Macaca fascicularis: one gene and its partners. The protein of the gene in region 3 interacts with the protein of the main gene of each other region in a pairwise test. Links are inferred from orthologs where the notes say so. Each region holds a gene or a part of one and is shown on either strand. Other genes may lie near its edges.

Region 1 (4,240 bases), on a different chromosome or scaffold from region 3:
GTGCTCCTAGTTCAGGCTCAGGCAATGGGCCTTGTCCACGGGCTCCTGGGTGCGGATCCAGAATGAAAAAGGTGGCACAGGGCATATCAGGAGAGAGTCCCTCAGGCTTCCTGGGGCCCCATTCTGAGAAGGCTTGCAAGCAAAGAAGCAGAAGCACACCCAGGAGATAAAAAGCCACCCCTGTCGCTTGGGAGATAAGAGAACAGGGAGTCTCAGCAGGGGAGCTCTCACAGGTGCAGCATTGCTCCAGGGCCCACTCAGACAAACAGTAGCAGCTGGGCACCATGAGACATTCTATGGGCTCTCCCAGTTCCCTGTAGCTCCTCTCAACCCTCGCTGGGGAAACTCCAAGCTCTCCGAGGTCCTCCTCGGCCCCTCACCCCACACCTCCAGATGGAGGCAGAAGGATTCCTGCAATCACCCCTTCAACAAATATTTACTGAGGACCTCTGCATGCTAGCCAGGCACTGTCCTAGGCACCAGAGTGGTGAATAACCATATTTACATTTTCTAGGGGCCGGGCGCGGTGGCTCAAGCCTGTAATCCCAGCACTTTGGGAGGCCGAGGCGGGTGGATCACGAGGTCAGGAGATCGAGACTATCCTGGCTAACATGGTGAAACCCCGTCTCTACTAAAAATACAAAAAACTAACCGGGCGTGGTGGCGGGCGCCTGTAGTCTCAGCTACTTGGGAGGCTGAGGCGGGAGAATGGCGTGAACCCGGGAGGCGGAGCTTGCAGTGAGCCGAGATCACGCCACTGCACTCCAGCCTGGGAGACACAGCGAGACTCTGTCTCAAAAAAAAAAAAAAAAAATACATTTTCTAGGGAGATGAAGGCAAGAGGGCATTACTGGGGTGGGGGTGGGGGTGGGGGAAAGGCTCAGGTCTCAGGTTTTCTTTTTCCTTTTTTTGAGATGGAGTTTTTGCTCCTGTTGCCCAGGTTGGAGTGCAATGGCACAATCTTGGCTCACTGCAAATTCTGCCTCCCAGGTTCAAGTGATTCTCCTGCCTCAGCCTCCTGAGTAGCTGGGAATACAGGCTCCTGCCACCACGCCTGGCTGATTTCTGTATTTTTAGTAGAGACGGGGTTTCACCATGTTGACCAGGCTGGTTTGGAACTCCCGACCTCAGGTGATTCACCCACCTTGGCTTCCCAAAGTGGCTGGGATTACAGGCATGAGCCACCGCACCCTGCCTAGGTCTCAGGTTTTCTATTCGGTAGTAAGGACTCTTCCTTTAGGTTCTTACCTCATACCCGCATACCCTGTACTCCACCCCACAGGCAAGATTCCTGGAAGTAAAGGGCAGGTGCAACTTCAAAGCAGATGGAGGCCTGGGGTGGGGAGAATAGCTCCTGTTTTCCTGGGTAAAACTGGCTTGGGCTTAGAGAAGAAGTATTTATTTCTTCCCTATCCCCCAGCTACACCCCTGCTCTCTCTGTTCTCAGGAGTTCCCATTCCAGTCTTGGGCACAATTCAACTCCACCACGGGCAGCCCTCTCCTCCTGCCCATATCCTAACATTCAGCTGGCCAGCCTTCGTGTTTTGCTCGTCTGCCTTTGCCCAGCAGCAAACAGGGATCTGATACCAGCTCAGAGCATCCGGTGTCCCTCCAACTATGCCTTGGCCTGCTGAGGTGGGCCCCTGAAAGCAGCCACCAAATTGAGTACCTCCCTGCCTCCAGACTCCCAACACCTCTCCTGCAATTCTCCACTCCCAGGATCTCATATGGGGCCAGCCACTATCTGCAGATCTCTCGTCTTTTCCTCACAACCACCCATAAGCTAGTACTAGCACTGAATAGATTGGGCCAGCTGAAGTTCAGAGAGGTTGAGTAACTTGCCTGAGGTCACAGAGCTGGTGAGTGGAGGAGCTAGAATCCAAATTAAATGTTCAAGCTCCTTTTGGAATGGAGAGAGGTATAAAAGCTGCTTCTCAGCTAGCCCTGTAGACTGGGAGGTGGGGGGGAACTCTGATCCAACTAAAGGGAAAAATGAGGTGGAGACCAAGATCATTCCCAGCCTGACTTGAGTGTCAGGCACCTCAGCCCCGCCCCATCACACACATCCTGGCATGGGGAGCTAACACAAGCAGGAGGAAAGTTGAAGGGTCTGGAGGCCACCGAGAGGAGTAGGCAAAAGGACGACAACGGGGCTGGAGAGAGACCCCTAGAGGTGTGAGGGCAGGGTTGGAGCCAGCCTTGACCTACGACTGCTCTCTCCTGGTAAGCAAAGCCGAGGAGTGTGTGTCTTCGCCCTCTCATACACTCTGACAGTAAACCAGTAAATGAGGACGTGCGCTGGAAGGAGACGCCAGGGATACGACTTTAGCCAGTAAAAGACCCAGGTTAAAGAGACAGCCCCGCACCTCCGCTCGCGAGCCTCCATCCCCATCCCCATTCCCCTCCGCCAGCGCAGTCGGCGGCACGGCCCCTCCCTGTTACCGACCAGATCGATCGGGATCACCCGTCCACTCGCCTGCCCCTTACGGAGGTCAACGTGACCGCAGTCTGTTTCAGGCCCGGGAGACAAGCTGTCCAGCCCAGCTCGGGTCCCGGTCCCGGCAGGATCCTCTGGCTCCCTGGCCCGTGCGCGCCACGTGCTGCGCGTCTCCGCACGCTCCGCACTGGGGCCCCACCCGGCGATCCTTCTCCGGGCTGCGGAGCCGTCAGACCCGGCCTCCCTGCCCTCCGTGGCAAGCGGGCAGCGGCGTCTTCTGCCCTGGCGGTCCCCAGTCCCCGGCCCCGGGCAGCACCTGCCTGAGAAGCAGTGCTCTCGCGCTGAGAACCGCGCGCTCTTCCTGCAGCTTCCCGCGCCCGCCGGGGCACATTCAAACCCGCCCTCTGCTGGGCCCGCCCCGCCCTGAGCCCACTGCCACCTCCCTCCCTACACCCGCGAGCCCGCGGCCCCGCCCCCGGCCCGCCCCGCCACCCCACGGCGACTCCGCGCGCTCTGCGGTCCCCACACCGAGCCCCTGCGCCCCCAGGGCCGCCTGGTGGTGTTATTTCGGTAGACAGGACCTCTTTGGGCCCTGCCACACCAAGGTTGTCCTTCGTGTGGGGCACATGGGGCTGGAGGGTACAGCCACACATTAAGGACCTGAGCAGACTCCCATAAAATCTATCTCGGGACTGTTCCATTTACACACCCGCTACTCAGAACGGCCCCGACGCCCTACGGCCCACTCCACCTCAGATGTTCCGTTATCTCTTCCCCAGCCCCGCCCACGCCGCGCTTCCTCCACACTGCACCTTTTTCCTCCCAGCGCCCTCCCTTTCAACGCCCCCTTCTTTCTTTCAGTCCCCCTCGTATTTTCCTTCAAAACTGCTTCTGTCCCCACCTCCCATTTTCTGTGACCAGCATGATGGTTTCCCCATCCCTGACACATCCAGTCCCAGCCACAGACGCGCAAACACCACACCACCCACAACTTTGACTTGGAGGGGGTATGTGCCTCTGCCTGTGCTTGTGTGTGCGCGCGGAGGGGGACAGGGGCACAACCCTCCAACTCCCTCATAATTCACCCTTTCTAAATCCAGCACTTTGGAAAACTGAGGCACAGCTGGGAATGGGAAGAGAAAAAGCCAGGAACAGCCTGACATCCTGAGTGAATCCTATTGTCCCAGCCGTCCTGAGAGGCGGAAGCCTTGCTGATCACGTCCTCCACTAGCTGAGGAGGAAGGTGTGGGCGTGCTGAGGGGTGGTCCAGCAAGTCCCTCCAAGGGAGGGGGAGGGAGGCCCTCTCTTTGGTTGAGCAATAAATGGGGTGGGGTGGGGTGCACTCCCTGCCCTTCCAGCAGCACTCAGTGCTAGAGCGTGATCCTAAGGCTGGAAAGGTCCTGAGGAGAAAATCCAACCCACGCTGCTCACCCCATGCCCACTGACGCGAAGGGCTTGTCCCCTAGAGAAGCCACAGACACTGATTAACAATTGGCAGTACCTCACATCATAGGGATAAGGTAGTCCTATCCTGTCCCCAGAGAAACAGACAGAGCCCTAAGGAGAGAGGTGGCTTTTCTACTTAGGGTCAGTGGCTCTCCCCAAGCTACTCCAGAATGGGTGTCCCAGCCTTGTGTTTCCATGCCCCACAGAGATGACACACATATCCCTTCCCAACCCTCACCCACCCCACCCATCCCCCACATCCCCGCCAGCCCTAACCAGAGGGCAGGAAGATGGGTTTGGGTGGTGTTTTTCTAGGCACTGCTCCGTGACTTGAGAGTGGCTTCATGTCTGTCCACA
Region 2 (2,813 bases), on a different chromosome or scaffold from region 3:
GAATTTTCATTCTTCTTTAATAGCAGACATTAAAGATGTCCCCTATTTTAAGAACTTATGTGAGGTCAGCCAAAACTAATTATTTGAGGTTGTACAAATGACTCAAAATTCTTGGAGAAACCATGGGTTTGGAGAGGAATCGTCATATATATTTCAGAAATGGAGAAAAAAATAAGATAGAAATAACATCTTGTATTTTTTTTAAAGATTTCTGACTTTCATTTTTTTTTCTCAGGCCTGCCCCTACCATGCCCTATCCTACTTCTCTCATATATTTCAGTCATCTGGAGTTCTGGGAGTAAGGAATCCATTATCAATGACCTATCCCATGAACATTGTCTTTGGGAACCTGTGTAAGACTATATAGACATGAATATTTGATGACCTGACACCTCACAGTTCAAACCTAGATTGGGGTTTTGTAAATATGAACTCAAGGCTGTAAGAGCCTCCCATGGTCTAATGTTTCAAGAGTAAAGAAGAATAGACAAACACCCATGTTGGAATCATCTGTTGCAGAAAAGAGCACAAAGATAGTTTTATTAATTTAGAACGAATTTTGAGAACTTTACATAGACAGAAATGTTCTATCTCCTTTTTTTTTCTAATTTTGAGGAATGTCTTCCACTAGTGGTCTCTAAAAATGTAGAAATATCACAGGGAGTGCAAATTACATTGTCTCTTTACCTGCCACAATCTGGCAGCACTCATCATGTAGCAAATGCCCAAATAATAGACTACAGATTATAGTGACCTCACCCTAGGTTAACATTATTTCTAAGTAAGGTACTAATATATCTGAATTGAAAAGTAAGGCAGCTATTGACTCAGATTTGGCATTTTAATTACATTGTTTCCGAGTAGGATATTCTGAGAATGTCTATAGCACTTAGTGTCTGCTTTATATAAACTACCAGTTAATTATATATTTATGATGCAAGTAGTTTTCCAAATGTGGTAGAAGTCTGAGTCTTTTTATCCCCATAGGTAAAATCTGACTCTGACCCTCTGTGTCTCTCAGTGCTTGTTTAGTGCTGATCAGAGGGTAAGTTCTTGATAAAAGCTGTTGACTTGGCTCTCACAATTTATGCAGACATTGGGGAGACAATTTGGTTATCTCAAACATCACAGGATTTGAGTAAGAAGACCTCGTTATGAAACAAGGCTCTCGTAATTACTAGTTATGACTGTTGATAAGTTACCTTTTCTTGTTTACAAGTTATGTGACCTCTTTGAATTACTTGTAAAATAGAGACAGGGATGTTTTCTTGATCATGGAACATCAGATGAAGTTATTTGATGAAATACTTTGTCATCTGGAAATTATAAATACAATGAAATGTTGATTATTATTTGAAATTTGGGCACCTCATTGTGGCATTTTCTATGGTCATTTTTTTCTTTTCTTGCATAAAGGCTAAAAGTAGGTAGACATGCAAACAATAGCCTAGAGTGGGAGTCAGGAAGAGTTAAGGCAGAGACATGTCCATGTATAAGCTATGCTGTTTTTACAAAAACAGATGAGTGTTGGCCATTTAGAGCTTCCCTCATGGGGTGTGGTAACTCTAAGAACGTGCCACAATGTCAGCCCTGTAGAAAGATAAATGGAATAGGTTCTGTATTGTCCCTAGTTGTTATTTTTTTAATCGTCCTTAAAACAGTGATGCCAAAGGGACTCCACCAAAAGCATAGATGTGGAAAAAAAAAAAAAAAAGATAGTTTAGGAATGTTGTGAAGTAGTCATATATCTTTACCATCAGGTGCAGTCTCTCTGGTTGCTGATGGAGAAAATGAAAAAAAAAAAAAAAACCAAAACAACCATACTAAAAAGCCTATCCAAGGAACAGGTTAGTAGGAAATCACATTCTGAAGCACTCATTCTGCCTTTCTTCAACGTAAGAAAGTTGCTCAAAAGAAGAATCATGACAACACAAGCTGCTACAATGGCTACATTCTCTACATTCAGTGTAAGAGAGAAGGGGCTATGGTCACTCCATGCAAACGCCAGATAGAGATGTGGTGGGTATGTGCAGAGTACCTCAAGAAATGAAAGTCAGCGTGTCTCTTGGAAGCTATGAACACTAATGTTTAAAAAAGGAAACAGAAAATAGAAGAAATCATTTAAGGAGAGCTGTCATTTTCTATTGGTGAAGATTCCTGATCTTGGGGAGGTTCTGGAAAGTTTGTCTCTGTTTCTTCTTCTTCCTCTTCTTGGATTGGAATAATTTCAATGTCTTCTTCATTCTTTGGTTGGGAAGATGTTTCAGTTAGCCCAACCACTTCTTCTTTTATTTCAATGACTTGTTCTTTTTTTTCTTCAGCTGACAGGAGAACTACGCTCTAAAACACAAAATTAAACAAACTATTCTTTACTTTTACCATTGACACTTTTGTCAACAATCTCTACAAACATTTATCAAATAGCTCCTGGTTTTTATGCTACTTATTATTATATGCCTTTAAATGCCAGGATTTATTTTGCAGGTGCTTAAATCCTTATCAAATCACTTATTAAAACTCAAGTCTGAGTAAATCTTCAAGGGCAGCAGACATTTACCATAGTGCCTGGAATGACCACGTGGTATTGGGAAAAGAACGTTGCAGTAATAGAGGAGTTTAGATTGTTGTTCTGATTTGCCTTTCGTGAATATAACTCTGGGAGAAGAATTTTCCCTCTTTGATACTATTTTTCTTTAAATGCAAAATGAAGTAATTAGTGATGATTTCTAAATTCTATTCTTAATCTAACAGTCTGGTTCTGAAGCAGTTAGTAATATATCTATTATTGGTCTCTTTTTATTTCCATTTGTGGA
Region 3 (4,279 bases):
GAAGCTGTACTTTGTTCTGAAGCTCCATATTCTGGGCTGTGTATTTCAAGACCCTGGGGGAAATAACAAAGATATGGGGATATGGCCTGTGTCCTCCCTTCAAAAACCTAACACTTAAAACTGAGTCCCTCTCCCTTTCATACCTGCTCTCTAAACCCCCAACATACACCTTCTTTTTCCTGCGGCTCTCTTGAGCAGATCTTTTATTTCGAATCTTCCTCCGCACACGTTTCAGAATTTGTTCCTCCATCTGAAAGGAAACAGGGAAAGGGGTATCATTAGAGGGACTCTAGAACAAGAAGTTGAAAGGCAACTGAGATCCATCTCTTTCCAATACAGAAATCCCTTCTACAGCTTCCCTGACCAATAGGCATTCACATTCTTTCTGAATGCCTCCACGGAGCACGTGTTAACCCTAACAAGCCAGACCATTTTAAACTATTAAAAAAAAAAATTGGTCAGGCAATATTCAAGTGACATGGCTCATGCCTGTAATCCCAACACTTTGGGGAGCTAAGGCAGGAGGACCGCTTGAGCCCAGGAGTTTGAGACCAGCCTGAGCAACACAGTGAGACCTTGTCTCTACTAAAAATAAATTAGCCGGGTGTGGTGGCACATGCCTGTGGTCCCTGCTCCTCAGGAGGCTGAGGAAGGACAATCGCTTGAGCCTGAGAGGTCAAAGCTGTAGTGAGCCATGATCTCACCACTATTCTCCAACCTGGGCAGTAAAGCAAGAATCTGTCTTCAAACAAAAACTTCCTTATCCTGAACCAACAGCTGTCTCCTTATAATTTCTATACGTTGGACTTACCTAGTATCTCTGGGGCCAAATAGAATGAACCCTGTTAAGCTATTTTCAGGCATTTGACATTTCCTCAGAGAAAAAAAGTTCAAGAAAAAAACAGCTTAGACAAAAATTTTAACTCATCTTCTTAGGATAGACTGCATCTTCTTAGTATCTGTCAAAGATGTGCTCTAGCCAGTATAAAGGAAAGCAAGATAGTGACTTGTGGAGACAATAACTCTTGCTACAGTTTCCAAATCCCATTAACTTTCCTAGTAGCCACATCGCACTGCTGACTCATCTTGTACTTTGAAGGAATTAAAATTCTTTACTTTTGGAGGCCAAGGTGGGTAGATCACTTGAGCACAGGCGTTCAAGACCAGCCTGGCAACAAGGCAAAACCCCATCTCTACTAAAAACACCAAAAAAAAAATTTGCCGGGCAGGGTGGTGTGCACCTGTAGTCTCAGCTACTCAGGAGGCTGAGGTGGGAGAATCACCTAAGCCCAGAAATTCAAGGCTGCAGTGTGCCATGATCACATCACTGCACTCCAGCCTGTGCAACAGAACAAGACCTTGTCAAAAAAAAAAAAAAAAATTCCTGGAACCTTTCTATTAATGAGCACTGATTTCATCATAGTATCCCAGTACTCTGCTTGTGAAGTTGCCACTGATTGCTTAAAACTGGAAACTAAGGATTTTGCATTTATTCATGTACTGCTTAGTCCAATCGTGTTGAACTCTCTAAACAGTTCTACCATTCAGCAAGAGGTGGATTACTATGAAGCCAATGAAGTGTCAAGGCCCTTCACTTACACAGTCCTTTCCAAGGCCCAATACTAATGTTGCACTGATAATTTTGAGGGTTTTTTTTTGTTTGTTTTTTAACAGAACACCAAAATTTGTGTAAGCCCAACGAAAATGAGGATCTGCCTTGCATCTAGCATATTGGGTACCTGCCTCAACTTCCTATTAGCAATAAATCTGCTAAGTTTCTCACCTCAATCCTTTTTTAAAGTTATTGATATAAAGTTAACAGAATTGGCCTACTTGAGACTTTTAATCCCTTTTCAGCCTTTGCTCAACTAACGAGAGTCTTACCTTAGTGAGAGGAAGTGTCTCAGGCAGAATAAGCCCCTCCTTCTCCAATAGACTCTTCTCCTCATCTGTCAGTACCAGCCTAACAATATCCTAGGGTAACCAGAAAGTGGGCGGCAGTTGCATGGGGATGTCACAGAGGAATGGGGAATCCTGCCCCCACCTGAGGAATGTGAGAGTAATCTTCCTGAAAATCAAGTCAAGTACCTGCTCTGCCAGCTCCTCCATATGCTGTGGAGTCATCTGGGTCCCCTCTTTTCTACAGCTCTCACTCTCTGCAAAAGGGAACGTATGAATAGCCAGGCCCATGAACCCTGTCCTCCCCGCAAACTTATTTCAGACTCACCTAGATCCATAGAGACAGGTTCTCGTGGGAGGGAGTAGGTGTGGTCATGGTGGACAAGGCAGGGGTTGGAGTTGCTGAGAACGTTCAACGACGACGCTGGGGGACTCAGCAGGGAGCTCAGCAAATCATCTACCTCCCAGTCGCTCGGTACCTGCGCAGGGTTCCAGTGAACAGGCCTTGACCTATCACCATCCCCTGACCTCATGGACATCCCACGCTTTCCCCAGTCAGAACCCCAACGCACCTCAGAAAGCGGCAGCTCCCAGTCCAGTGGGGCCCTCACGGACTCATCGGGCGCCGTCCTCAAATCTCCACTTTCCTCTAGCAGGAAGCCCAGTAGGTCTTGGTCACCAGCGTCCAATTCCAGCTCCATTTGGGACAACTACGGAAAGGGTGGGCTACCGGGCCCCAACGTCCGAAGCCCAGACACGAGCCCCAGGCCAGCTGTAGGCCTCGGGCACCTATCCACTGTCCCTCTACGGCCGGGCTTCCCGGCCGGGGGCTTTCCGTAGCCCTCTCCGGACCCGCCTCCCAGGCTCAATTCTCCTCAGCCTCCAACGCAGCGAAAGTGACGCACCCCACCCCGTGGCACTGTGGGACTTGGAGTTCCCTCCAACTGAGAAGAGGCCTGGGTGCCGCGCCACGTCCCAGGGGCTATGCAAATGTAGGGGACGGCCCTGCTGCCGCCTCGCACCCCGAGGGCGGGGGTTCCAGGGCTCCGGCTCCGCCTTCTCCCCCAAGCTAGAAAAAGGAAGAGTTCTGGCCTGAAAGGGAACTCGGGCGTCGTCTTGGCGTTCTCTCCGGATTGCGCCGCACCCTCGCTTCCTGCCAGGGAGGGGCTGCCGGCCTTTGGCGGCCCCCGAGCATCGAGAACGCGGCCAGAGCAGCTTCCTGCCTGCCCCCCGCGACCATAGAGCGCTGCCCCAGGGCGCCGCCCGCGGGTGGGGGACGTTCCCAGGACGGAAGTGGCCGAGAGAGTGTCGAAGGGAGGGCGAGGCCGGAGCCCGAGGGCGACCCGAGAAGCGGCAGGGCAGCGGGCCGGCGGGCCGGCAGGCGGGGCGCAGAGCCGGGCAGCGCAGGTAGGCCAGACCGGGCCGGGCGGGGGCCTTAGGGTGGGGCCGCGGAGCCTGGCCCCGGGGGCGGGCGGGGCCCTGCCTCTCCTGCGTGTCCGGTTCGGGTTCTGTTAGTTGGAGAGGTCAGCGTCCAGCGCATCTCAACTTGGGCTCATCGTGAAGTAGGCCGTCTTAGGGGAGACAGGCCTCTCCTGGGGGCAGTCCTCTGCCTGGGATAGGCTTTGGGGAGCGTGAGGAGTCGGGTGGCAGCGGGGCGCAGGACGGGGACGGGCTTTGGTGTTAGCTGATAGCGGCCATGTGGGTAGGAAAGCTTTGGGTGAGTTGGGGATTAGGTGGGGTCCGTTTAGGAATCAAGGGTCGCTATAGGAGTTAAAAGCTGGGGTTAAAACTTAAGAGTTAGTAGTGTGAGTCAGGTCCGTTTTAGGTAGGTAAGGTTTAGATTAAGGTCATTATTTTGTTTGCTGGGATGGCCATCATACGTCATAATTTGAGTTCAGGGTCGGGTTAAGGGTCAACAACAGGAATCAGGTTAGAGCCTGTTTGAGGGATTAAAGAATGTTGACATGGTCGGTATTAAGGATAAACAGTGAAAGTGTGAGTTAGGAATCAAGTTACAAATGAACTTTAGGCTTAGGGGTCAACATTTAGGGTTAACATCAGGCGATTTGGTGCTAAAGGTAAAACTTAGATCAGTATCAGGGATCAGGGATTGGATATGAGTCTCTGCTGGGAAAGGGATGAATGTCCAAGCCGGTAGTGGGAATCAGGAAACAAATTAGAGGTGGGGTTAATGTTAGGAATTTGGGGCAACTTTAGGGGTTGTAATTGAGGCTAGCATAGTTGGCCTTGAGCAGATGAAATTTAAGAGGTTGGCAGTAGGTAAATGCCCTTCTTTTGTAGGGAAGTCCTTTATTCCTGTGTAGTTACAGGGGCTTCTTTTCACCCAGAGAGATAACAAACTAATTTCAGGCTAGTGTTC
Region 4 (4,046 bases), on a different chromosome or scaffold from region 3:
AGAGACTGAGACCATCCTGGCCAACAGGGTGAAACCCTCTCTACTAAAAATACAAAAATGAGCTGGGCGTGGTGGCACGCGCCCGTAGTCCCAGCTACTCGGGAGGCTGACACAGAATTGTTTGAACCGGGATGGCAGAGGTTGCAGTGAGCCAAGATCACGCGACTGCCCTCCAGCCTGGTGACAGAGCAAGACTATGTCTCAAAAAATAAAAAATAAAATAAAAATTAGCTGGGTGCAGTGGCATGTAACTCTAGTCCCAGCTACACAGGAGGATCATTTGAGCCAGGAGTTCCAGATTACAGTGAGCTATGATTGTGCCACTGCACTTCAGCCTGGGCAACAGAGCAAGATGATTTCTTAAAAAAAAAAAAAAAAAAAAAGGCTTTGACAGGTTCCCTCCAAGGAACTTGCCATTGCCCAGGGAGGGAAAGTTCTGAGCAATAAAATTTCCTAAATAAATCGGCCAAGTCTGAACCATGTGTCAGCCAGGGACCGTGGTGCTGGGCCTCCCTCGGTGATGCCTTCTCTGGAGCTGGGAAGGGTGACTCAAAGGGAGTGTGGGGGCCTGTTGGGAAGGGTGGTAATAGGTAGTCTCATCTCCAGGGTATGGCATCAGCAAGGCCTGGGGTGCCATCGTCTCCCACTCCCTTGGTTCCCCTATCTGTTCAATAATTCCTGGGACCAGATACAAATTTTCCTGCGGAGCACTAAATGAGATAAAAGATAGCTCATGTTCAGCTTCTCCTTAAAAAGGAATTTCGGCATCTTTTCCACAAAACTGGGGTGCTGGTGGGGCATGGTAGCTCATGCCTGTAATCCCCCCAGCACCTTGGGAGGCTGAGGCAGACAGATCGCTTAAGACCAGCCTGGGCAACATGGCGAGACACTGTCTCTACCAAAAAAACCACAAAAATTAGCTGGGTATAGTGGTGCACGCCTGTGATTCCAGCTACTCGGGAGGCTAAGGTGGGAGGATCACTTGGGCAGGGAGGCAGAGGTTGCTATGAGCTGAGATCGCACCAGTGCACGCTAAGGGCATCCTAGACCTCAGTTTGGGCAACAGAGCCAGACCCTGTCTCAAAACAACAACAAACAAAAAACCTGGGGACCTAGGATGTCTTTAAGGGCCCTTTAGCCTCTAACAGTACTTAAACCAATTAAAAGACTCCTGTTAGTTACCTCCCCACCTCTCCACCTGCAGGATGCTCCGTGATGAGCAGCTAGCTGGCTATCAGCTGTGGATCACCAAGATTGCATGGAGTGGGGCTGAGCTGACCAAGGGGGATGAGGGCCGGGGCCTGCAGGGAGGGGGCAGAGCCACTCACCTAACAATAGCTGTAGTGTGTAGAAGATGCAACCAAATATGCTGTTGGATTGATTGAGGATGCTGTCCGGTCCCAGCACATGCTCCACCAGCCCGAAGCCCCTGCCCCACCTGGCAGAGGGGTGGTGTGGGGGGGTGGAACCAGGTTAGGAATGTCAACCTAGTGCCTTGGACCCTACCCCGGAAAGGTGATTTCCAAGAAGCCACCTGGGTTATCCTCTGTTCCCCACCTCCTATCCTAGACCAAGGGTCGATGACCTCCAGTCAGCAGACACTTTTGGCCACGTCAGGATTCCATGTCACTGACCCTATCCTCCCCTCTCCCCAGACCAGGCCTGACGTGGCTACTTGGTAGGCCCTGCTTTTCATCTAGACCTTAAGTAATTCTTTTTTTTTTTTTTTTTTGAGACAGAGTCTCACTCTGTGGCCCATGCTGGAGTGCAGTGGCGCGATCTTGGCTCACTGAAACCTCCGCCTCTCGGGTTCAAGCGATTCTCCTGCCTTAGGCCCCCAAGTAGCCGGGATTACAGGAGCCTGCAATAGCGCCGAGATAATTTTTCTATTTTTGGTAGAGACAGGCTTTCACCATGTTGGCCAGGCTGGTAAACTGACTTCAAGTGATCCAGCCGCCTCGGCCTCCCAAAGTGCTGGGATTACAGGAGTGAGCCACCGCGCCCGACCCTTAAGTAATTCTTAAAATGGCAAGGCTGGTATAACGGTTCACTCGGTTTTGCATCAGAGACTGGGAGTCGGCGGCAGATTATCTTTGCCCTGGACCCCAGAATCTCCAGCTCCCTGGCCACGCACTCGCCTCCTCGGTATTCCGTCATTATGCTAACGCCTGGCCATCACGCACAGCCAGACCGGGCCACCTTGTTCCCGGGCGCAGCCATCGCCAACCCCCCTTCACCTGCGCGCCGTCCTTGAGACCATCGTCAATCTCTGCCGCCATCCTGCCTCCCCGCCTTTCCCGGTCACCGTTATTCCTTGGCATCCAACTCACATGCGAGTCCCCGGAATAATCCCAGTCCCCAGCACTGTCTGGTCCCTTGCCTCGCACTCTTATTTCGAACACCAGTATCTCTGGGTAGCTCAGCCCCCGTGCAACGACCCCGCGAGCAGTCCAGCCCCTTGTCCGTTCCCTGGGCACACCGATCCCACACTCCAGAATAATCATCTGGCAATCTGGCCGCCCCGCTCCGAGGCCCCACGCCTCCCACTCCCGTGCACACCTGGAGGAGAAGACGCGGGAACAGCTGATGGCGGTGCCCACGTCGCAGAGCGCGCGGTAATCCCTGTCCCGGGCGCGTGCCGCCTTCACGTGCAGCGCGTAGAGCGAAAGCACTAGGCCGGCCAAGCAAAGAGCGAGCCGCACCCAGCCAGGGTTCCCCCAGGTGCTGCCCATTATCTCCAGGTTCCGTCCGAGGCGCCAGCAGAGAAAACCAGCCACGGAGCAGGGGCGGGGCGGGGAATGGCCACGCCCCTCCTGCCCCTCTGACTTGGCGATTGGCCGGCCGGGTTCGCACTCCGCGATCCAAACGGCTGTTCCCGGGAGCTAGTCAGGCGAGAGAGTTAGGAAAACCGCTAAGAACGCCCAGACTGGTGAAGCGGGTAAGAGACGTGGGGAATCGCGGCCCCAGCGGCTGCCAGGCATGATGGGAGTTGTAGTCGGGGCGGCTGCAAGGCGTCAAGGGAAATGACGTCTCCAGAGATTTAAAAACTGTTTTGGCCGGGGGCGGTGACTCACGCCTGTAATCCCAGCACTTTGGGAGGCCGAGGCTGGCGGATTACCTGAGGTCAGGAGTTCGAGACCAGCCTCGCCAACATGGTGAAACCCCGTCTCTACTAAAAATACAAAAATTAGCCGGGCATGGTGGCACACGCCTGTAATCCCAGCTACTCTGGGGGCTGAGGCAGGAGAATTGCTTGAGCTGGGGAGACGGAAGTTGCAATGAGCCGAGATCGTGCCACTGCACTCCAGCCTGGCCGACAGAGTGAGACTGTCTCAAAAAAAAAAAAAAAAAAAAAATTGCGTTAATGTGGCTAACAGCATTTGGGCCTACCCTATGCCAAGTCCTGTTGTAAGAACTGGAGCATCCAGGACCTAGAGACCAGAGGATCAGGGGATCCAGCGAATACCGCGATCCGATTCGGGAACCAAGCATTTCCCCTGAAACTATTTCAGGCACCATTCGGGCTGCAGCCTCGCATCCTCCCAGGTCCTGCCTCACCAGCGCTTCTTGCTGGTGGGTCTCTCCCTTACATTCACAGAACCACTCCTTTGGCCACACACACCCTTGACAGTATCCTAACTTCTCTACTATCATGGCACCTGCCTGACAACACCTGAGCTTGGATCAACTCAACAGTCAGTCTCTCCTTTCCAAGCTGTGGGCCTGCTGAGGTCTTTCCTTCACAGACATCCCATCTGATGGTGACCCATCTCTCCTACACCTTCAACCTCTCCGTCCTCCCCATCTACATTGCAACTTGTTTCTCTTTCCCATCTCAGAAACAGCAACACATCTCCCTTCACTAAGAGGTCCTTCAGCAGCCTCCCCTCCCTGCATTAACAGGCAAGTTTTTGGAAAGATTCTACACTCCCAGTCTCTACTTCCTCACTTCTTCCTCACTGCCCACGCCATAAACTAGCTGCTGCCTCCAGCACTGCCCTGACACCTAGTGGCTGGTGTCACCAAGACGCTAGACCCAGTGGTTA
Region 5 (3,973 bases), on a different chromosome or scaffold from region 3:
CCCTATGTTGCCCAGGCCAGTCTCGAACTCAAAACAATCTTCCTACCTCAACTGGGCTCAAAGCAATCTTCCCACCTCAACCTCCCAAAGTGCTGGGACTACAGGTGTGAGCTACCATGCCAGGCCTGAAAGCCATCTTATAAAAAACAAAAAAACATTAGAATGAGAATCATAGCATTGGGAAATGACTCTATGAAATCTATGAATCATCTGGTCCATTTGTTTTGTCCTCTGGGTTCACCCAATGACCCTCTTTTCCCCAAGTTCTCAGCAGTGCACCTCATGCAGAATTGATTCAATAGGCGATCAGCAAGGGCCAGCTCTGCTCTGGGCCCTGAGCAGGCACTGAGTATAAGTCAGACCTGAATGTGCCTGGAAGAGTGTCCCACGCAACCCAGCAGGGAAGCAGTTTGTATGACAGGTGTCCCAGTCCAGGCGGGCACCAGGTGCTGCCGGAGTGTGGAGGAGGCAGGCGGGGACTTAGTCTCCTCCCTGGGTTTGGACACTGGCTTCCTGCTTTATGTGTGACACCACTGCACCCCTCTGAGCCTCAGTTTCTCCAGCTGCAAAATGGGAGCGATCTACCCCCACAGGTCAGTTGTAGGGATGAACCATGAAAATACTGGAGTCTCTGTTTTTTGACAGGAACTAAAAAACCAGATCCTAAATGTACATTTAAAGGGGGTGTGAGGAGGCAAGCAGTCAGCAGAGGACTCCAGAAGGTGGCAATTTAGGGAGCTGGAGACAGCAGGGTCTGGGGTTGCTAAGTTCCTGATGTTACCCACCAGCCTCCTGCTCTGAGCAGCGCTGCCTCCCAGCTTTCTGGAACCTTCTGGGATGCCTGGGGTGCATCAAGTCCCAAGGGGACAGGGAGCAGAAGGTGGGGCTCTGGAAGGAGCAAAATCACACCCAGAGGCTGCAGCTTCTCAGATTTCCTTAAGGTGTGTGTGTGTGTGTGTGTGTGTGTGTGTGTGTTTTCTCTAAAAGTCTATGGCCAGACTTTGTTTCCCCAGGGTCATATGACTGCTCCTCTCCACCCCACACTGGCCCGGGGCGGGCTGGGCGCGGGCCCCTGCGGGTGTTGCAACGCCCGGCCAGAAAGTGGGCCTCAGCTGTTCCGCCTGGCCCACGTGACCCGCCGAGCATAAATGTGACCGGTCGCGGCTCCGGCACAGTCAACGCCTGCCTCCTCTCGAGCGTCCTCAGAGCAGCCGCCGCCCGCGGAGCCAGCACGAACGAGCCCAGCACCGGCCGGATGGAGCGTCTGCAACCCGACAGGCAAGCGCGGGGCGCGGGACGGGCGCCTTTCCCTCCCCTCCCAGCTGGCCTCCCAGTCCCACCCGGGACACTGCCACGCAGCGACAGAGCCCGGGAGCCAGAAACTTGGGCCCTGGAGTCAGGAGGCGCGGGGTTCTGATCCTGCCTGTGCCCGTAGGGTGGCTGGAGGGAGGAACGGTGATTTACATGCCTGGCACCCTGGTATGCGGTTGGGGACCAAGATGGGAGTGTCCTTAGAGTATCCAGCCTTTGAGGTAGCCAGTTTTTGTTAAATCCAACTTTCGAGGTGTGTTTGGAGTTGCTCTCTGCTGAATCTAGATCTCTGGGGCTTCCCTGTGAGGGAGTCAATTTTGTTTTAATCCAACTTTTGAGGTGTGCTTGGAGCTGCTGTCTGCTGAATCTAGATCCCTGGGGCTCCGCTAGCCTGGGAGAGCATGCTTGGTTCTCTTGGTGGCATCTGTCCCTCACTAGCTACGGAGGACCTGAGCCAGACATCACCCTGGCTACGTTGTTCCGCGTCTCACAAATAAGGATTGCCCAGTTCAGGCAGGCGACACGCCCTAGAGTACTCAGTCAGCAGGTGTCAGAACTGGGTGTTGAACCTTGGCCTGCCCACCTCCAGGTCTCGCTCGTTCCCTTCTTTCAAGAATTTCTTAGTTTTTTTTTTTTTTTTTTTAACTCCTGGGCTCAAGCATCCTCCCACCTCAGCCCCCAGAGTTAACTGGGACTTACAGGCGTGTGCCGCTTCTCCCAAGAATTGGACCAGCTGTGTTGTAGAACAGGGGATGATGTTCCGGGAAGCAGGGCGGGAGGAAAGGGAAAAATGACAGTTCTATGGGGACGCAGGGATACGGACCCATGACAGAAATACTCCCGGAGAGATTTTTTCTTTAACTAAAGCAGAATTTTTCAGAATTTTTAACCCTGACGTCTTCATGATGAGCATAACATGATAGGGGGGTCATGAGATTTGCATCTGAAACTTTAACAAAATAACTGAATTAAATATTGGGTCTAAAAGCCAATCAAAACAATTACAAACTTTGAGATGCGCGTTCATGGGGCCTCTGCTTTTTCCTGGGTTATGCTGTACCTCCTCCTCCTCTCCACTGGGAACTACCGGTACCAGGATTTCCCCCTTGGTTTGGGGGACTGTATTATTCAGTGTTTTATTTTATTTTATTTTATTTTATTTTATTTTTTTTTTATTTTTTATTTTTTGAGACGGAGTCTCGCTGTGTCTCCCAGGCTGGAGTGCAGTGGCGTGATCTCGGCTCACTGCAAGCTTCGCCTCCCGGGTTCACGCCATTCTCCCGCCTCAGCCTCCCAAGTAGCTGAGACTACAGGCGCCCGCCACCACGCCCGGCTAGTTTTTTGTATTTTTAGTAGAGACGGGGTTTCACCATGTTAGCCAGGATAGTCTCGATCTCCTGACCTCGTGATCCACCCGCCTCGGCCTCCCAAAGTGCTGGGATTACAGGCTTGAGCCACCGCGCCCGGCCTATTTTTTTTTTTTTTTTTTAGACTGAGTCTCGCTCTGTCACCCAGGCTGGAGTGCAGTGGCCGGATCTCAGCTCACTGCCAGCTCCACCTCCACGGTTCACGCCATTCTCCCGCCTCAGCCTCCCGAGTAGCTGGGACTACAGGTGCCCGCCACCTCGCCCGGCTAGTTTTTTGTATTTTTTAGTAGAGACGGGGTTTCACCATGTTAGCCAGGATGGTCTCAATCTCCTGACCTCGTGGTCCGCCCATCTCGGCCTCCCAAAGTGTTGGGATTACAGGCTTGAGCCACCGCGCCCGGCCTGGCCTAGTGTTTTAATGACTGAAGAGTGTTTACAAGGCTGCAAGAGTCACCATGCCCAGCCTGAATTTGTTTTTTTGTTGTTGTGGATTCTGGGGTTTTTTTTTTTTTTTTTGCTTTTTTTTTTTTTTTTGAGATGGAGTCTTGCTCTGTCACCAGGCTGGAGTGCAGTGGTGCAATCTCGGCTCACTGCAACCTCCACCTCCTGGGTTCAAGCTATTCTCCTGCCTCAGCCTCCTGAGTAGTTGGGATTACAGGTGCCCAACACCACACCCGGCTAATTTTTTTTTTTTTTTTTTTTTTTTTTGTATTTTTAGTAGAGATAGGGTTTCACCAATGTTGGCCAGGCTGGGCTCAAACTCCTGACCTCAGGTGATCTGTCCGCCTTGGCCTCCCAAAGTGCTAGGATTACAGGTGTGAGCCACCATGCTTGGCCTTTTTTCTTTTTCTTTTTTTTTTTTTTGAGATGGAGTTTCTCTGTCACCAAGGCTGGAGTGCAGTGGTGTGATCTCAGCTCACTGCAACATTTGCCTCCGGTGTTCAAGCAGTTATAGGCATAATCGCCGGGATTACAGGCATCCGCCACCATGCCTGGCTAATTTTGTATTTTTAGTAGAGATGGGGTTTCACCATGTTTGCCAGGCTGGTCTGGAACTCCTGACCTCAGGTGATCCGCCCACCTTGGCCTCCCAGGTGCTGGGATTACAGGCGTGAGCCACTGCACCCAGCCACAAGGCTGCATCTTAAAGCGATTGGGAATGTGGCCTGAATAAGAATGGGAGTCCTTGGAGGCCTGCTTATAGGTGGGTGGCTCCCCTGAGCTCAGCAGTTGGGAAGGACCCCACCCCCAGCCAGCTTTGTGTTCACCTATCCCATTTCCTCCTCAGCATGCCC
Region 6 (3,500 bases), on a different chromosome or scaffold from region 3:
GAAATAAAATTCTTTGAAGGCTTTATAAAAGGTCTTACTCATGCACGTATGATGTGTATCATGTATCCTGGGAAGACATCCAGACTCTCGGACAGACATTTATCTCTACACTGGTATTTTCTCAATACTAAGGTAGTCCATAGATGGCTTAATAGAATCATAATTTTTTAAAAGCTGCAGTAGGAGGGAGTATGTTCCCTCATCCTAGCACAAACAGTAAGGACAATATTATTTTTTTCAAAAAGGAATTATTCTAATTTATACATTACAAATGCTACCAAACTGATACATTAATTTTCTTTCTCTGGGCCAGACATGGTGGCTCACACCTATAATCCTAGTACTTTAGGAGGCCAAGGCAGGCAGATTACTTGAGACCAGGAGTTTGAGACCAGCCTGGACAACATGGTGAAACCCTGTCTCTGCTAAAAGTACAAAAAATTGGCCGGTTGGGGTGGCACATGCCTGTAATCCCAGCTACTCAGGAAGCTGAGGCATGAGAATCGCTTGAATCTGGGAGATGGAGATTGCAATGAGCCGAGATCATGCCATTGCACTCCAGTCTGGGCGACAGAGGGAGACTGTCTCAAAAAGAAAAAAATAAAATTTCTTTCTCGTACGCTCTGCCAGCATTACCTAAGCATTTTGAGAACAAACTCACTAAGAACAGGGTAGCAGCCCAAGTCTACAATGTAAGCCTTACTTCAAGTTGCCTGATAGAAGATTCTCTCTCATGAATAAGGCGGAGGTCATCCTCTGTAATTTCTTCATCCTGCACCTGCACTTGAGGTTGAGTTTGGCTAACAGAAAAAAATGAATGTGGAAAAAAACAAAGATTGGTATTCAAAACAATGAGATTCATTTCCTATTTAAGATATATTCATTAAATAGGACGTTTTACTCTTCAAAGTCGCAGAACTACTCACTTAAAAAATTCTAAGACTATAACAGATATATGAATAAAATTTTATTCATTTTTCATTTCACTTATATCATTTTATCTAACGTGAGTTTAGAGTTATTACTTAATTATTGGAAGCTATATTTGTCAACTGGGTATTTCTTCTTAGTTGATTTAAACCTCATATAAGGGAAAGTCTATATTATTAATTAAGTCCATAAACATTTATTTGGAAAATTTTATATATTTTATGATAAATACTTTATAATTAAATTTTTTTTCAAATTTACTCTGTTTTCAACATATAAACAACTTATATTGAAAGCTTTAATTCTGTTCCAGGGGCCTTAATGTATAAACTTTGAAAAATTACCTTTTGATCTGAAAAATGTTTTGTATTTCTTACCTTTCCCAGGATACAAGATTCCTTTCTTTTGAGCTGTCCTCAGGAAAACCGCCCTGAATGATTTAGTAACAGGATGGAATGAGAAGTGGCAAAGAAAGCAAAAATGAGAAAAAATAAACACTCATATTTTCCCTAATAATCTAAACGATTTATGTACATGTCTCTGTGTGTGTGTGTGTGTGTGTGTGTGTGTGTGTGTGTGTGTGGTGTGTGTAGAGAGAGAGAGAAAGAAGTTCTTGTTCTAATTTTTCAGGTCAACTGCTTCAAGTAATAACATAATTATAAGTAATTTTATATTCTAAGTAGACAAACACTAAACATTCTCAAGGGTCAAATAAGTATTATTTAGTTAAAGCTTAATGTAGTCTTGGAATTCATATGTTAATGAATAAGAAAACTCGTGATAGTTTGTAAGGGAATTTAAAATTAAATTAATTCAAAATTCTATTGTAAAGCTTCCTTTCATTTATTTTCTCCAGGCTCATGTTCATTTTCAATATTCAGACAACATAGTTGCGCCATTCATCTCCGTCATCTTGGTGTAATCCAGGAGGAAAGTGCTTTCTATACTAGTGTGTCCACAAGCAGAAAGCCTCCGTACCAAGACGATGTGAGAATACTACTCAGGGTTTGATCCCTCATCTTTTTTGACAAAATACGTCTCTATATTTTTATATAGTCTGTAATCTTCTGTACAATGACACAGAAAAAAAACCACAGTAATACATAATTATCATCTTCTCCAAAAATGGAGCAGAAAAGCATAAAAATGAATATTCAAGTGCTGATTTCCAAGTTAGTCACAGATCTTTATGACTTAAAAAATTATGCTACTATAGACTTTGATAGGACCCTTAGGAAGTAAGGGTCGTTTCTAGAATGTCTTTTAAAATACTCACAGACACTCTGGAACTGGCTCTTACTCGAGCAACAAACTCTTTCTCTCGCTCAGCCGCTTGCCTCTGAACCTTCTGGAAGTTTGTCAGTGATGCTGTGAACTCTGCCACTAAGCGATCCTTCTGTATTTTCCTTTGACGCTAGAGGAAAGAGAAGAAAAAGCCAACTAGAATCTAGCTGTGAAGTAAAACAGTTTGCAGTACTTGGTTCTTTATTTAATCCTGAAGTTTTCACTTGCTCCCCAATTACAGGGCCTTACGGATTAACTCTCAACAACATTCTGACAGTATGTCAAATACCGAGCATATTTAACTGGAGGCAAAAGACCCATTATGCTGGATTTCTCACCTCAAGTTTTCATGCTGCTAAAAACTAGCTCATTATTTTGAGGCTATTTTAAAGTAATTCCTTTTCAGGCAAATAAAGCCTTATACTTTTAGCTAAGTAATAACTTCCATTAAATAAGCAGGGAAATAAATATATGCCCCCAGGACACCTCACATCTTGAATGAGCCTGCATGTTCCACGCACTCAGCCCCGGAAGGCCAGGAAATAATTACTCAGGAAGCATTTTCTGAGAACTTACTTAATTATGGGTCAGGGCAAATGCATGGAAATAATTTTTGCTTTATTGAACCACAGGATACTACCTGAGCAATTAAATATAGTTTTGTGTTCTATGAACTAATCTCAAACAGAATTATTTTTGATTTCCTTTCTAGCATAATTTCCTTTCTAGCGTAACAGTTCAAAGATCCTACAACGTATTTGGTTTTTTTCACATTCAATGCATCAACAATGTGTCTTAAAGCTTGATACCTGTTCACTGGGGGTGGTGGGCAGAGATCCAAACTCTTTAATGTACTTATCTGTTTCTTTGGCAAGCTGGTTAGTATACTGCTGCTTCTGTTGCCTAAAGTGAGAAAGCACGCATTACAACCAAAGGACTAATACACTTCTTTAAGCTACAACTCTGTCATTTGAATCAACACTGACAAAGAGTTGTACAAAAATTGCCTTTTCATAAACTGGCTCTCAACTTTCTCTATCAAAAAAATTTCATATCCTATTCTTTGATAAATATTGAGCAAATATTACATGTCAGGTTCTTCACTGACACAGGGTAGGTGAGCTTAGAGAAACCAGTATCAATGACCATTTAGAAACACAGATGACTCAAATCAGAGGGAACTTGAAGGAGAGACTGTTGGATGTCTGATCCTTTGTTTGAGATACTGGGGATGTGGCAGCCCTTAATCTGCATCTCACACCTGGAAGGTCAGGTGAGCAAGAAAA
Region 7 (3,992 bases), about 2.8 Mb from region 3:
ACGCCACTTCCCAAAATGTATGCCCTTCTCATTCTGCCTGGGATCCAACACCCTGCACCAGACTAAGCATTTAAAATACCATGACTGGCTGAGTTCAATCAGCCCATGCAAGATCTGTATCAGTGAAAAAGTGCAGGCATCTGGACATCCTGAGTTCTAAATAAATAAAAGTTGTGAAGAATCAGATAAAATGAAGGAAACAGAAATAGGATGATGACAAAGATAAGCTTTGTCTATTTTGAATTTTTATCTTATACCAGATATAGGTTTTTTAAAAGGAGCAGAAATTCTTTTCTCCTTTCCTATTCATGACCCCAAATTTACCCTAGTATTATTAGGTCACTACATTCTTATCTCTTAAATACCAATTTCTATGAGGAAATCCATTCCAAGTTGTAAACTAGTCACAGTATTTTTTTAAAAAACTATACCCAATTACGTAACTTTCATTAAACCTTTTACCTAAGAGAATTCAAAGTACTTCAAAATCCATTTATAAGTGGCAGATTATTTCCACTAAGTAGGGTAAGATATCCACATAGAAAATAATTTTGGACAATATAAAAATAAATTCTGAAGAGGACATACTTACAGACACATGATACTTCAGGTAATAATGAATAATCCAGGCAGGTACAAGTATATGAGTGAAAATAAAGATACCCTTTTGGTATACCCCATGGACCTGGCGGAAAAAACACATACACAAAATAAACATATCCCATTTTTCATATTTATGGCAGAACAAAAGGCATCAATGATGTAACAATGTCATTATTATTTTACAAAACTCTAAATGGTACATATTTTCTTATAGTTTGTAGGTAACCTCATCTACTCAAATATTCTTAGTAAATGCAGAGTCCACTAGAAGATACCTACAAAGTCCAGACCAAAATGCTTAAATAGTATTTTGCAAGAATATAGCAAGGCATTTATAGATTTTTTAAAGACTTTAAAAAATACCCTTATTATAAGTTTGTTAAAGATAAAATAGAGCAAATTAATGAAATAATAATTTTAATGTATTTAACCAGAGTAATCAAACCTCATAATTTTTCAGGTATAGTCATCTCCCTTATTTATTGATCAATGGCACTCACATTATTTTAAGTATAAGGCAGAAAACCTTGACAACACCAATGCTGGAAAAAGGACATTTTACATACTAATGGGTGTCCCAAACTCACTCCAAAATGCCCTCTGCAACACTATTTTAAAAAAGAACTAAAAATGGAACTTTCCCATGTCCTCCAATTTGATTACAAAACACCTATCCATTCAAGGAAGGGACAATCAAGAATCTAAGAATTATAACAGATATGATTATAAAAGAATACATTAAGGTAAGGTGAATTTCAACACATGATAATTTATTTACTTCCTTTTATCACTGGCTGATGGATGGGATGTCAACTTAAATCAGTGACTGCCAATATCCCGATAATGTCAGGGATACAAAGGGTGAGAGAAGAGTTGAATTTTACCACCATAAATAAGTATCCAATACCACTTTCTCAGAAAAAATTTTCAACAATTCTATTGCACTAGACTTTGTAGTACAGTAAGAAATAGGTACATGTTGATTTCAATATGAACTCCTTCAATTCCTAGCTCCCTGACCACCGGCAAATCACTGAATCTTTATAGGCCTCAGTTTCTTCACATTTAAAGTGAGGATTAGGAATATCTACCTTGCAGGAATAAAGAAATGAAGTAACATTTGTAAAACCCTCAGTAGAGTGCCAAGTACACAGCAAGCACCCAGGTGCTACTTAGTATTATTACTACTATTATCAGTAAGTGTTGTAGGTAACTGAAAGCAATTCTGAGATGTTTATCACCCATAACAGACCTCAAGAAAATACCCAGAGGCCTTGAAAATAAATTTCTTGAATGAGTGATTTTCTTCAAAGTCCAAAATGTCATTTTTTAACGAAACCCTGTGTTAAAAGTACAGAACGGTAGTTTAGAAAGGTAGCTCTTGAATGTGACTCACAAGGCATACCAACAGGACCCTGTCTTTTACGGGGATCACATGGGGCTGTACTACCAGCTAAGGGCTGGCTGTGCCCTCTGGTAGTTGGATACTGTGTTACTTGATCTCTAGAACGTCACACTTAAAAGTTAGACAAGTGTCCTCAAATACTTAAATCACAGAATTTTAATTCTAGCGAGTCCTTGGCTATTATTCTGAGGGAAGATTTCTACAGTCAAAAGAGAACCAAATGTGCAGCGTCCTGGAAAACCTAAGTATTAAAATTCGCCCCCGTCTCACTGTACTTGACAATAAAAGGCATGATTCTCTCAAAGCCATACATATTCCCGGACTCCTGCCTCCCGGGACTCCAGGAGCGCTCTCGGGACTGGCCAGTGTTTCCCAGCACGGAGCGGTTATCAGTCCTTGGTGTGGCTGCAGGGAGCGGACGTTCAGTGTCCGGGCTGCTGGCCGCGGTGGGGTGTGTTGAGGGGGGACCGGAGAGGTCTGTCACTCACCGTTCTCCTCCAAGGGGATTTATTCTCCAAAAACTTATTCCAGAATTTCTCCATAGGCCACATCTTCTGTGGGGGCAGCACCGGCTCCCGAGCGCTCAGCTCCTGGTCCTTCAGCCATCGCCTTCTCAGCTCTCGCAGCTGTTGCAGCCGCAGTTTCTCATCCGGAGTATACCCCGTCATGTCTCCGCTGGTACCAAGGCAAAAGGACACGACCCACCCTCGAACTAGGGACTAGTTACTTAAGCTCGCTCCCGCTCTGCAAAGCGACCTTGTGGGAACGCCGGGCGCCGCGCGCGGTTATTACGTCACATCCTGGTCCTGCCTCTGCAGGGGCCCCAGAGTCCTAAGTGTCCGGGCATGCGCAAAGCTCTCCACCTCCAATTCTCTCTCCGCCCACCGCCGCTATACCCGACCAGATTATTACCGGGTGGGGATGAGGAGTGCTCTTAGTTTTGAGGCCTGAGGAAAGTGACAGATTAGACGAAAGTATGCTAAATTAGAGGACTGGAGGTTTTGCTAAGGAAGAACTTGTATGCTGGGAGCAGGAAGGATACGCATAAGTGTTTCAGTGAATATGCTGTCCAGATACGAAATTATTTGCTTGTCTCTGCCACCTTGGAATGACCTAGAGAGTGTATGAAAATAGTTAACATCCAAGTTCAAATCCCAGCTGTGCCAGTAACTGCTGAAGTGCCCCAGGCAGCTGTCTCATCTGTCCCTCCATCTGTACAGAAATAGTGAAAAGAGTAGCTTAATATCTAGCAAAATTGCATGGATGCATTCATGCTTTCACCCAAAAATACGTGTGGTGAAAATATGAAAGGGCATGCACGACTATTCAGCATGATTCGTAATACCAAAATATTGGAAATTACCCCCAAATTCCTAAATAAAGGAATGCTTGAATAAATTATAGTACAACAGTCGAAAGACAGCGTTACAATGAATTAGTTTAAAAATCTTAATTGACTCTTATTTGTGATTCTAGACTCAGAAAACACCCCATTCTATAAAGTAGAATGAGTGTTCTGATCAGCTGAGCAGAGGCGGTTGGTTTTATTGGCAAATAGGGGCTGAAGAAAGCAGAAACAGAACAAAAAGCAGACTCGTCGTTTCAAAGTTATTTTTCTCTTAGAGTTAAAGCAGAAGGAACTTCCTTGTTTCACTGACTCAGGCTTAGGGGAATTTCCCATTTTTTGGAAAACTGGCCCATTTCAAAGTTCAGTTTGATTACGTTGTACTTAGCACAAACGACTCCATTCTGATTTGGTCTGGTCTGCTGGGGCCTAGTGCATGAGGCTAGTCCAAAACAGTGGCTTCCCAAAAACTTTCACACAACAAAGCAATGAAATGCTAATATAATTGAGAAAAGTAATGGGGAAGAACTCTATATACATCTGTGGTGTGATTTCCAGGATACATTATAAAGTGAAAAAAAAAATGGATGGGAATTTATACAGTATGCTTTTACCCAAAAAGAGAAAGATGGTGGTAAT

What was found.
Region 1: the proteins of CREB3 (region 3) and SLC29A1 interact in a two-hybrid assay, tested with the Homo sapiens proteins (2 studies listed by BioGRID and IntAct). The two-hybrid records come from large-scale screens. The link is inferred for Macaca fascicularis from reciprocal best matches to the Homo sapiens genes CREB3 and SLC29A1.
Region 2: the proteins of CREB3 (region 3) and MS4A1 interact in a two-hybrid assay, tested with the Homo sapiens proteins (2 studies listed by BioGRID and IntAct). The two-hybrid records come from large-scale screens. The link is inferred for Macaca fascicularis from reciprocal best matches to the Homo sapiens genes CREB3 and MS4A1.
Region 4: the proteins of CREB3 (region 3) and VKORC1 interact in a two-hybrid assay, tested with the Homo sapiens proteins (2 studies listed by BioGRID and IntAct). The two-hybrid records come from large-scale screens. The link is inferred for Macaca fascicularis from reciprocal best matches to the Homo sapiens genes CREB3 and VKORC1.
Region 5: the proteins of CREB3 (region 3) and HMOX1 interact in a two-hybrid assay, tested with the Homo sapiens proteins (2 studies listed by BioGRID and IntAct). The two-hybrid records come from large-scale screens. The link is inferred for Macaca fascicularis from reciprocal best matches to the Homo sapiens genes CREB3 and HMOX1.
Region 6: the proteins of CREB3 (region 3) and STX7 interact in a two-hybrid assay, tested with the Homo sapiens proteins (2 studies listed by BioGRID and IntAct). The two-hybrid records come from large-scale screens. The link is inferred for Macaca fascicularis from reciprocal best matches to the Homo sapiens genes CREB3 and STX7.
Region 7: the proteins of CREB3 (region 3) and NDUFB6 interact in a two-hybrid assay, tested with the Homo sapiens proteins (2 studies listed by BioGRID and IntAct). The two-hybrid records come from large-scale screens. The link is inferred for Macaca fascicularis from reciprocal best matches to the Homo sapiens genes CREB3 and NDUFB6.

Annotation. Positions count from the first base shown.
Region 1 is NC_088378.1:127,294,115-127,298,354, forward strand, and holds the start of SLC29A1 (equilibrative nucleoside transporter 1), read right to left. Parts: upstream 2,801-4,240; 5' UTR 2,488-2,800; exon of another isoform or gene 2,447-2,487; intron 2,299-2,446; 5' UTR 2,263-2,298; coding exon 2,205-2,262; intron 1,981-2,204; coding exon 1,843-1,980; intron 790-1,842; exon of another isoform or gene 653-789; intron 187-652; exon of another isoform or gene 86-186; coding exon of another isoform or gene 46-85; coding exon 1-45. UniProt on the Homo sapiens protein: Uniporter involved in the facilitative transport of nucleosides and nucleobases, and contributes to maintaining their cellular homeostasis. Functions as a Na(+)-independent transporter.
Region 2 is NC_088388.1:13,753,568-13,756,380, forward strand, and holds the end of MS4A1 (B-lymphocyte antigen CD20), read right to left. Parts: intron 2,341-2,813; coding exon 2,122-2,340; 3' UTR 501-2,121; downstream 1-500. UniProt on the Homo sapiens protein: B-lymphocyte-specific membrane protein that plays a role in the regulation of cellular calcium influx necessary for the development, differentiation, and activation of B-lymphocytes.
Region 3 is NC_088389.1:63,665,254-63,669,532, forward strand, and holds the start of CREB3 (cyclic AMP-responsive element-binding protein 3), read right to left. Parts: upstream 2,801-4,279; 5' UTR 2,601-2,800; coding exon 2,472-2,600; intron 2,379-2,471; coding exon 2,228-2,378; intron 2,157-2,227; coding exon 2,089-2,156; intron 1,975-2,088; coding exon 1,885-1,974; intron 251-1,884; coding exon 144-250; intron 54-143; coding exon 1-53. UniProt on the Homo sapiens protein: Endoplasmic reticulum (ER)-bound sequence-specific transcription factor that directly binds DNA and activates transcription. Plays a role in the unfolded protein response (UPR), promoting cell survival versus ER stress-induced apoptotic cell death.
Region 4 is NC_088394.1:29,273,799-29,277,844, forward strand, and holds the start of VKORC1 (vitamin K epoxide reductase complex subunit 1), read right to left. Parts: upstream 2,801-4,046; 5' UTR 2,733-2,800; coding exon 2,560-2,732; intron 1,439-2,559; coding exon 1,329-1,438; intron 1-1,328.
Region 5 is NC_088384.1:16,285,622-16,289,594, reverse strand, and holds the start of HMOX1 (heme oxygenase 1), read left to right. Parts: upstream 1-1,173; 5' UTR 1,174-1,255; coding exon 1,256-1,278; exon of another isoform or gene 1,279-1,479; intron 1,480-3,966; coding exon 3,967-3,973.
Region 6 is NC_088378.1:36,426,606-36,430,105, forward strand, and holds part of STX7 (syntaxin-7), read right to left. Parts: intron 3,118-3,500; coding exon 3,024-3,117; intron 2,345-3,023; coding exon 2,207-2,344; intron 1,361-2,206; coding exon 1,308-1,360; intron 801-1,307; coding exon 704-800; intron 1-703. UniProt on the Homo sapiens protein: May be involved in protein trafficking from the plasma membrane to the early endosome (EE) as well as in homotypic fusion of endocytic organelles. Mediates the endocytic trafficking from early endosomes to late endosomes and lysosomes.
Region 7 is NC_088389.1:66,515,094-66,519,085, reverse strand, and holds the start of NDUFB6 (NADH dehydrogenase [ubiquinone] 1 beta subcomplex subunit 6), read right to left. Parts: upstream 2,801-3,992; 5' UTR 2,677-2,800; coding exon 2,497-2,676; intron 686-2,496; coding exon 593-685; intron 1-592.